Linked DNA regions of Nothobranchius furzeri. The main gene of each other region encodes a partner of the protein of the gene in region 2 in a complex. Links are inferred from orthologs where the notes say so. Each region holds a gene or a part of one and is shown on either strand. Other genes may lie near its edges.

The links. The genes of interacting proteins can lie anywhere in the genome.
Region 1: the proteins of mediator of RNA polymerase II transcription subunit 13-like (region 2) and ccnc are in contact, whole or in part, in a cryo-EM structure (PDB 8TQC), measured with the Homo sapiens proteins. The link is inferred for Nothobranchius furzeri from reciprocal best matches to the Homo sapiens genes MED13 and CCNC. Residues at the interface, in NP_005112.2 of Homo sapiens: Tyr1342, Ser1630, His1631, Val1732, Lys1733, Thr1734, Thr1736, Phe1738, Gly1739, Pro1740, Gly1741, Ala1743, Arg1897, Met1898, Ile1901, Asp1905; in NP_005181.2 of Homo sapiens: Gln7, Gln13, Trp14, Leu16, Gln19, Lys23, Gln26, Lys27, Arg75, Tyr76, Glu144, Leu145, Asp147, Cys148, Ser221.

What each region holds. Positions count from the first base shown.
Region 1 is NC_091742.1:26,778,164-26,782,374, forward strand, and holds the start of ccnc (cyclin-C), read left to right. Parts: upstream 1-1,353; 5' UTR 1,354-1,470; coding exon 1,471-1,502; intron 1,503-1,774; coding exon 1,775-1,881; intron 1,882-2,001; coding exon 2,002-2,086; intron 2,087-4,211. UniProt on the Homo sapiens protein: Component of the Mediator complex, a coactivator involved in regulated gene transcription of nearly all RNA polymerase II-dependent genes.
Region 2 is NC_091753.1:50,238,144-50,241,795, reverse strand, and holds part of mediator of RNA polymerase II transcription subunit 13-like, read left to right. Parts: intron 1-988; coding exon 989-1,134; intron 1,135-1,223; coding exon 1,224-1,421; intron 1,422-1,742; coding exon 1,743-1,937; intron 1,938-2,026; coding exon 2,027-2,183; intron 2,184-2,274; coding exon 2,275-2,382; intron 2,383-3,652. UniProt on the Homo sapiens protein: Component of the Mediator complex, a coactivator involved in the regulated transcription of nearly all RNA polymerase II-dependent genes.

The DNA of each region.
Region 1 (4,211 bases), on a different chromosome or scaffold from region 2:
AAATAAGCATCAGACAGTTTATTTTAGTTCAGCTTGCCTTTTCGATGTACACGGGCAAGCGATCGTTGAGGACGACCATCTCCTGTCGTTCACTGCTACGAGTCATCTTGAACTCCTGGTTCGCTGCTGCAGCCATGTCCAAGTCCAGGTTTGTCCCCTTCCTCATGGACACATCCAACCACAGCGTTCCTATACTCCCACTGCTGGTAAGAAAAGACAAGTAGATGTTTTTCTCTTTTTATACCCCAATGTTTGAAGTTTGCTTTGTCTAAATGAAACTTTTTAACACATTTCATGGAAATGCAGAGTTTAGTGTTTCAACATTTGCCATCTTTTTGTTGGAGCACTGCTTCACCCACCTAGTGAGACGAGACTTGGTGCTCAGAGTTCTGCACCCCATCGTCTTCCATCCCACACTTCGGCTGAAGCTGGAAGACCTGTGACGGCTAACCTTTCTGGTGGGAGATGGACTTGACGCCCGAAGCTGGCTTGCAGGAGACGGACCCTTGTGGCCTTCGAAATGACAGCGATAGGAAGACGTCCTCTCTGGACTTTGGCTCATCTTGATGGCGTTTTAACTGATTTAAGTTCTGCTGAGGAGTGAAGAACGCTCACTCAGTTGTTGTATGGTGGAGGATTTTCATACTCTTCTCACCTATTCCCTCACCACCACAGAGGAATGCTGGACCCTCCCATTCCAGAGGGCGAAGTCCCCACAAACATCTGTCGAGGTCATGATTAATGCAGCTTATAGACTGTAGAAAAAAATAATACACTCAGGGTAAATTACTCTGCTGACCTCTTAAAGGTTTAATTTGAGAATGTTTAGTCTTATGCAATCAAAACAAATATGAATCTAGTTATATTACTGCAGCTAAATTATACCACAAGCAATAACTGCTGTTGAAAAGGAATGGCTGATTAAACGCATATCCTACGTTAGAAAAAAACATATTTTGTACACAAATAATATTTTAAAGTTTTCAGCTTGTTTTTTAATCAATCAATCAATCAATCAATCAATCAAAGCTTTATTTATAAAGCGCCTTCCGCAACCCTGTCAGGAAGCCCAAGCGCTTTACATGTTTAGTGACACGTTCTGTTGTGTAATTATACATTTATACAATGTTTTCATGTTAGTATTGTTTTTATTATTGTTGTTGTTGACTTACACAATTATAAGCCATGTTTTCTTTTCTCTTTCTTTCTTTTCTTTTATTTTATTATTTTTTTAACAAATTATTTAATTCCACGTTTATAAATAAATAAATAAATAAATAAATAAATAAATAAATAAATAAAGGGAAACCAGCGCGACTGCAACCCCGGAACCATATTTCTAAGCTACCCGGTAGGTCTTTGGTGTTACACCAGCGTTTGCTAGCAAAACTACTTTTCTTTTGTATTCGCTGGTTTTGTAGGTTAAAACATTAAATACAATTATTTTTTCCGTCTTCAAACCGAAACGACATGGCGGGGAACTTTTGGCAGAGTTCACATTAGTAAGTTGCCATAATTATCAGACCTGTTACGTCCAAATGTTTTAATTCATCGCTTTTGTTGTGAGGCCTTGCTTGTTGCGACTGTTCGAGCTAACACTTTAGTTTATTCCCACCGTAAGTTTTAATTTATTGAATAGATGCAATAGACAGATAAATTAAAAGTACCAGTTTTTTACAAAGATGGAAGTTCCTTTTTAATTGTTTGACCATTCGTATCGTGCCTCTTTCTGTTGTGTTGTTCGCGTTTGGTTTATGTCTTATTTTTTATTTAGCCTTCAGTGGGTTCTGGATAAACAAGACCTAATGAAAGAGCGCCAGAAGGACCTGAAATTCCTCACAGAAGAGGAGTACTGGAAGCTGCAGATTTTCTTTGCAAATGGTAACTTTTAAAATCACCTGTAATAACGTGTTTACTTCAGAAGCTCGTTTATGTGTAGCTGTAGATACAGTTAGTGCATTTCCCTTGAACATATCACGTTTCTATGTTTTTTTTTTCCAGTGATCCAGGCTTTAGGTGAGCACCTGAAGCTGAGACAGCAGGTCATCGCCACAGCAACAGTCTACTTTAAACGCTTCTATGCCAGGTGAGAAGCTGTCTCAGGTAATGATGGAGATCAATGTTGATGCCATCACCAGCTCAGGCTCTTTAAAAACCTTAGTGTCTTTTTAACTCGCGGTGTTTTATTTTACTTACAGAATCAACTCGGATTGTCACGATATTAAAATTTCAAACTCGATTCGATACGGGGGGGGGACTCGATACTCGATTTCGATACTATTTAAAAACACCAATTTATTGAACAAGTTTATTCAAAAAATAACATTCCTCCATTTATATTGCAGAAATTAAATGTTAAGAATTAAGTGTGTAACGTGCTTAAACCTTTCAAGTATCAGCATTTTTTTTAAACGTGCATACAAAAACTGGCGAAAGTTAACACTTTAAATCATGAATTGTCTCACTATATATACACTATTTGCAGAGTGATGTTTTGCTGCTTAAACTCTGTTTAAGGTGCATTTTTGTCATAAGATGTAACGTCATATGTTTTGTTCTGTACTTTTGAACAACTCTGTTGGTCAATAAAGGGAGAAAACGAATTTCTCCACAGTAGGACAAAGGTACATCCACCGGTAATCTTAATAAAAACAGACTGGCGCACGGCAGTGACGTCATTAAAAGCGCTGGTTAGATTAGCCGCGGCTAGTCTGTTTACGCCTAGAAATCCCAGACCCGCTCCAAACGAACAGGGGAATCACGTTAATGATTCCTAACAAAACCTTTCGACATGAAGATGTTTTGGTGCAGATAATGTCTTATTTCGAGGCTGCACCATGGGTGCCCGTCCGCACCCGTTATATGGATATACACTGACGGCGATTCGGCGATGGATCTACGGTAAATACCCCGGGGAATCCAAGTAGCACCAAAGTTGTCGGCGTGAGTAAACAAACGTACTGCATGCTAGAAATTAAGTCCGGGTTGCAATAAACGGGAGTTTCCTTTAAGCACATAAGCGTGAATATACAACTACGTGGCGGACTTGGTATGCTAATTAAGTTGGGCTGTGAAGCGCCTCCCAAATTCACTGTTTATGTTTTTGTTTATTTATTTGGCAGACAAAACTTGGATCGGAGACAACTCGCGTGGGAAATTGCAATGTAGCCATGCGGCGCCTTCTTCTTCTGTTTGTCTGGGAGGCGGAGGCTGCTTTACGGCATCTGGCTGTCGTGCGTGTCGGTGTACTTGAAGAAGGCTGTGTATAATAGTCCATAATATCGATACCACAGGGATGGAATATCTCATTTAGATACCACTTTTAGCATCGTTTATATCTAGGTATCGATTTTTTTGACAACACTAGAATCAACACATAAACCTGAAATAATTCCAATCCTCCCACTTAAACATACAGGTTAATTCTTATCATTCAGCTTTGATTTACTCTTTAATCAACTTATAATGTCAAGTTTTTGTGCTGTTGCAAGCTATGAAAATGCAAACTAGAAAAGGGTGGTGTCGGTACAGGATCGGCTCGGGGTCCGTCGACTGCCGATGACGTCTAAGTAGTTGATTGGCTGAACATGAACCTTAAGCAATTACGTAATCACGTTACGTTGTTATCACGTTACGTTGGTCCAGGTAAATCTTTCTGTTGGAAAGATGGACAACTTTTACAAAGAAATCCATCATTACCTCTATGAAAATACACTTTTAGCATAGAGCTGCATGTATATTAGGGCTGAACGATTAACTGCATGTGCAATTAAATTGCGATGTGACAAAAGGAGATTTTCTAATCTCAAAGGCTGCAATTTGGCAGCGAGTGGTTAGCGCAATGCTAATATACATGGAAAAACCCATAGGAATGCTAATGCTAATATCACCGATTACATGCTTACAAATTATGAATTAGAAACGTGCCAAATGATTACATTTGGAGTCTAATAGAAAGTAAAACTACCATCAATCAAATAAGTACAGACAGGTATTTTAGTAAAGCCAGAAAACTTTTAACTCCAGAGTTTTGGCTAGCAGCTATGAGCGTAACTGAACTACGCATGGACAAGACGTCAAAAACTCTAAACACAAAATACTTCAATAAACGGGACACACTTCTTTCCTGCAAATACAATTTCACAGGTGTTGCTAATACCTATGATCCTTCAAGGGATGTGCTCAAAGAGGAGTTCAACATCATGAATACA
Region 2 (3,652 bases):
GAGCCCTTTAAGAACAACATTGATTAAAAATAAATTTAAATGTTATTTAAAAGTTACTGCGTAGCTCATATTTCAAGTCTTTCAAACCTTCAAAATATGGATGTATTGAACAATAAGCAGTCCTGTGACAGGGCTGGCAGGCTAACCTTTTCTGACACAACACCAGTAGCTACCACAGGCCGCCATCTGCAATATCTCTTTTTTTATCAGCATATCTTTGTCGGTTGGCTCTGCGTTTTTGTCCAAGTTGCCGCTGTGAACTGGGACTATTGGTGGCAAACTAGGAGTCAATGGAAATCGGTGATTTGTTTTAGTGACAACTGAAGGAAAAATCTTAAAAGTAGTTTGTTTTGAAGGTGGCATAGGTGACAGCTCAACCTTTTCCACCACCTTAAATGCCCAGTTTGCACACGTCTGTTACACTCAATGCCACCAAACTGATGACTTTCACCCTCCTGAGGAGACACGTTAGCCTGCTGGCTAACAGCTGCACGTTTGCATTGCTAATATTTTTGTCACAATTTAGTGTATTTTTCTTTTGATGCGATCATTTTCAACTTCTGTAAAGGAAATGTTAACTACATCTACTAAAGCAATAGGAAAAATTCACATTAGACACTTTGGATCAATAAAACTCTACCTTTATCATTGTTTTAATAACAACAATTATTGGGGGAAAAAAACAAAATCAACGCTGACAGTTTCAAATTGTAAAAAGTCATGTTTTTTTTAAGGCTAAATCCGATCTTTTCTACCCAATTCCGATCCTTTTAAAATCACACGATTGGGCCCGATCGGATTGGAGCATCTCTATCAATTACATAGATTTTGTTGCTGATGTCAGTGTTTTTATAGTTTTTTTTTTTTTTCTTGGACATGTAAGTCAGACATAAGCATTCATTTTTGCCTTTTGTGTGTTTGAAAATGTAGTTTGTCTTCTGACTAATTGTTCAAAACATTAAAATGCCTCTTTTTCCTTTGTTTACAGCGAGCACCTGTCTTGCTCTTTCACCTTCTTCGTTCATGGCGACAGCAATGTGTGCACGAGCGTGGAAATCGCCCAACATCAGCCACTTCAGAGACTCGGCGAAGAGCATCCAAGCCTTGCACAGCAGAGCTCCAGCCCCCTGCAAGGTAGTTTTACATATTATATCTATTTTTCATTCACTGCGAAGGTTTTTTTGTGCCCATATCAAATTTATTGTGACTGTGTTGCCTTGCAGTAATCCTGAGCCCATACGGCTTGAACGGGACACTCACCGGCCAAACGTTTAAGATGTCAGATCACCCTACTCAGAAACTCATCGAGGAGTGGAGGCAGTTTTATCCCATTTGTCTGAATCCCAAGGAGTCCCAGGAAGACAAGCTGGAGGATACGGACTGGGAGGATGACTCCCTAGCGGCTGTGGAAGTCCTTGTTGGTAAGGCGTCATAATTATTTGATAAAGCAGCGATGAGTGAAGGGGATGCAAGCGGGTAAGTTTTAACTGAACTTAAAGTGTACAGATCTTTTCAAAGGATGTGTTTAGTGATGGATATTAGTTGAAACTGCTTAAGAGGCTTTTCTGCACGACTACAGCCAAACCTGAGACTGGAGGAAAATCATAAATCCTAATTGAGTTCCTCACTAATAAACACCCAGTTAATTTACTGTACCAGTGATCCTGAGTCTAAATATTCACATAACTGTTGTAAATATGGTCACATTCGGTTTTTAAAATCAGTGTTTGTGCTTTTTTCAGCGGGGGTGAGGATGGTTTACCCATCCTGCCTTGTGCTTCTCCCCCTATCGGACCTCCCCGCCGTAGTCTCCCAGGGCTCGGCCAACACCCCGGGGGCCCAGTGTGGCGCTCAGCAGGGTCAGGCGACTCACAGAGACCCCGCCATATCCTCTGTCACCTTGACTCCGCCCACATCACCAGAAGAGGCTCACACTGGTGAGAATCAAACGCACTTATGTCAACCTTTGCTTCTGGAAGATTTTGCTTACTAATCTGTTTTTTTGTTTGTTTGTTTTTCTCCTCAGACTATCAGCCTGCCCACCGCTGGCTAAAGCTGTCTTCTGCGTCCGATTGCTACAACTCTAACAACACTCTTCATGGGGGTAAAATCCCCCGCAGGCTGGCTGGTCAGATGGTGGAATCAGTGTGGCAGGAGTATAACATCAACCGTACTGGGAACAAGTGGGTTTACTGCCACCATTTCCTGTAAATTGCTGTTTACTGGTAAAGTTTTCTCTCTCCACTGGCTGAAATTTGCATTGTTGTTGTTTAGGAGGAAGTTTACCAACTTGACAAACGGCGCGTGTGAGGAGGAATTGGAGAAAACAAGACTCTGGGATTTTGTGGAACCTACTTGCAGACCATCTTGCAATTGTTCAAGGTAAAAATACGGTAGAGAATTTACGAAGGATTTCTGTTTTTAATAGTGGTTGGATCTCCGGCTCTTTTAAGAGAGCTGGTCCTTGAGGTTCACCAGAAAAAAAACGTCTCTTTCGGCTCTCAAATGTTTCCTCACAGTTTTGACCAGAAATTTTGTAAAATTGTATGTAAAATAAATTCCTAATCTAAAAACATGAATTATATCAAATGTTCCACTGAAAGCTAAGATGATCACTCAGTAAAAATGTAATAAATGTGTGCAAAAGAGAAAAATCAGCATTCTGCTCTGATGGATGGACGGTTCTTATGTGCAGAGCCTTCTGCATAAGATATGTGCAGATTCCACACTCTGCCTTTTTTATGAATATTTCTGATTATATATTTTGTATATTCGTTCTGTTTTTCTTCTGAATGCATTTTTAGGTTTTTTTTTTTTATCACAGGAAGTTTTTTACCTTGCTGACAGTTTCAATCACTCCTGCAATCTTTATCATCAGAATTGGTAGAAACAGCTGAATAAGAAGAGGTTGTTGATTAGCTTATGATTGGAAATAGACGGTGAAACTCTAGGCTTTGAGAAACCTGACAGATCTACGTCAAGCAGCGCTTGGACTCACCCATACAGGGTATCCGCGGGTCCTTAAAAAGTCTTAAATTTGCTTTTCCAAATTTAAGGCCCTAAAAATCCTTAAAAATGACAAATAATCCTTAAATTCAGTTTCCAAATGTCTTAAATTACCAAAGACCCAATAAACAAGATTCTATAAAATTTTGGGGATTTTCTAGTTGGTGTTCAGCATTTTTTGTGTATGATATTGGCGTAAGCGGAACCGTACACATTCAGTTGGTTGTGAAAGGGGGCTATTTTTAGATGAGCACATTAGCTGGTTAAGCTAGTGGGAGCTTGAGCCATGGGGAAGTGCAAGTTTAATCAACACATTCTCACAGCCAAAGCATCAAAATATTGCACGTGTGACCAAGCCTCAATATATGACGATTCGGGACGCCCCAGCGTGTCAGGAGACGACGATCAGGGACAAACTGGTGATGCAGCGTCCCAGAGCGTCGGTATCCGACGCTGGTGCTAAGACGGACATTAGAACTACTTGTGAACTACTTAACCTTCCCCTGACCCCAATCCTAACTTTAAGGTCACAGTTTATGGAAGGGGGGGAAGTTTAAATAGTCGAATAATGTCCGTGTGACCTCGTGCGTCAAACAGTGATGCCAGCGGAGCCACGTGTCCCGGCATGTCCCTGATCATCATCTCC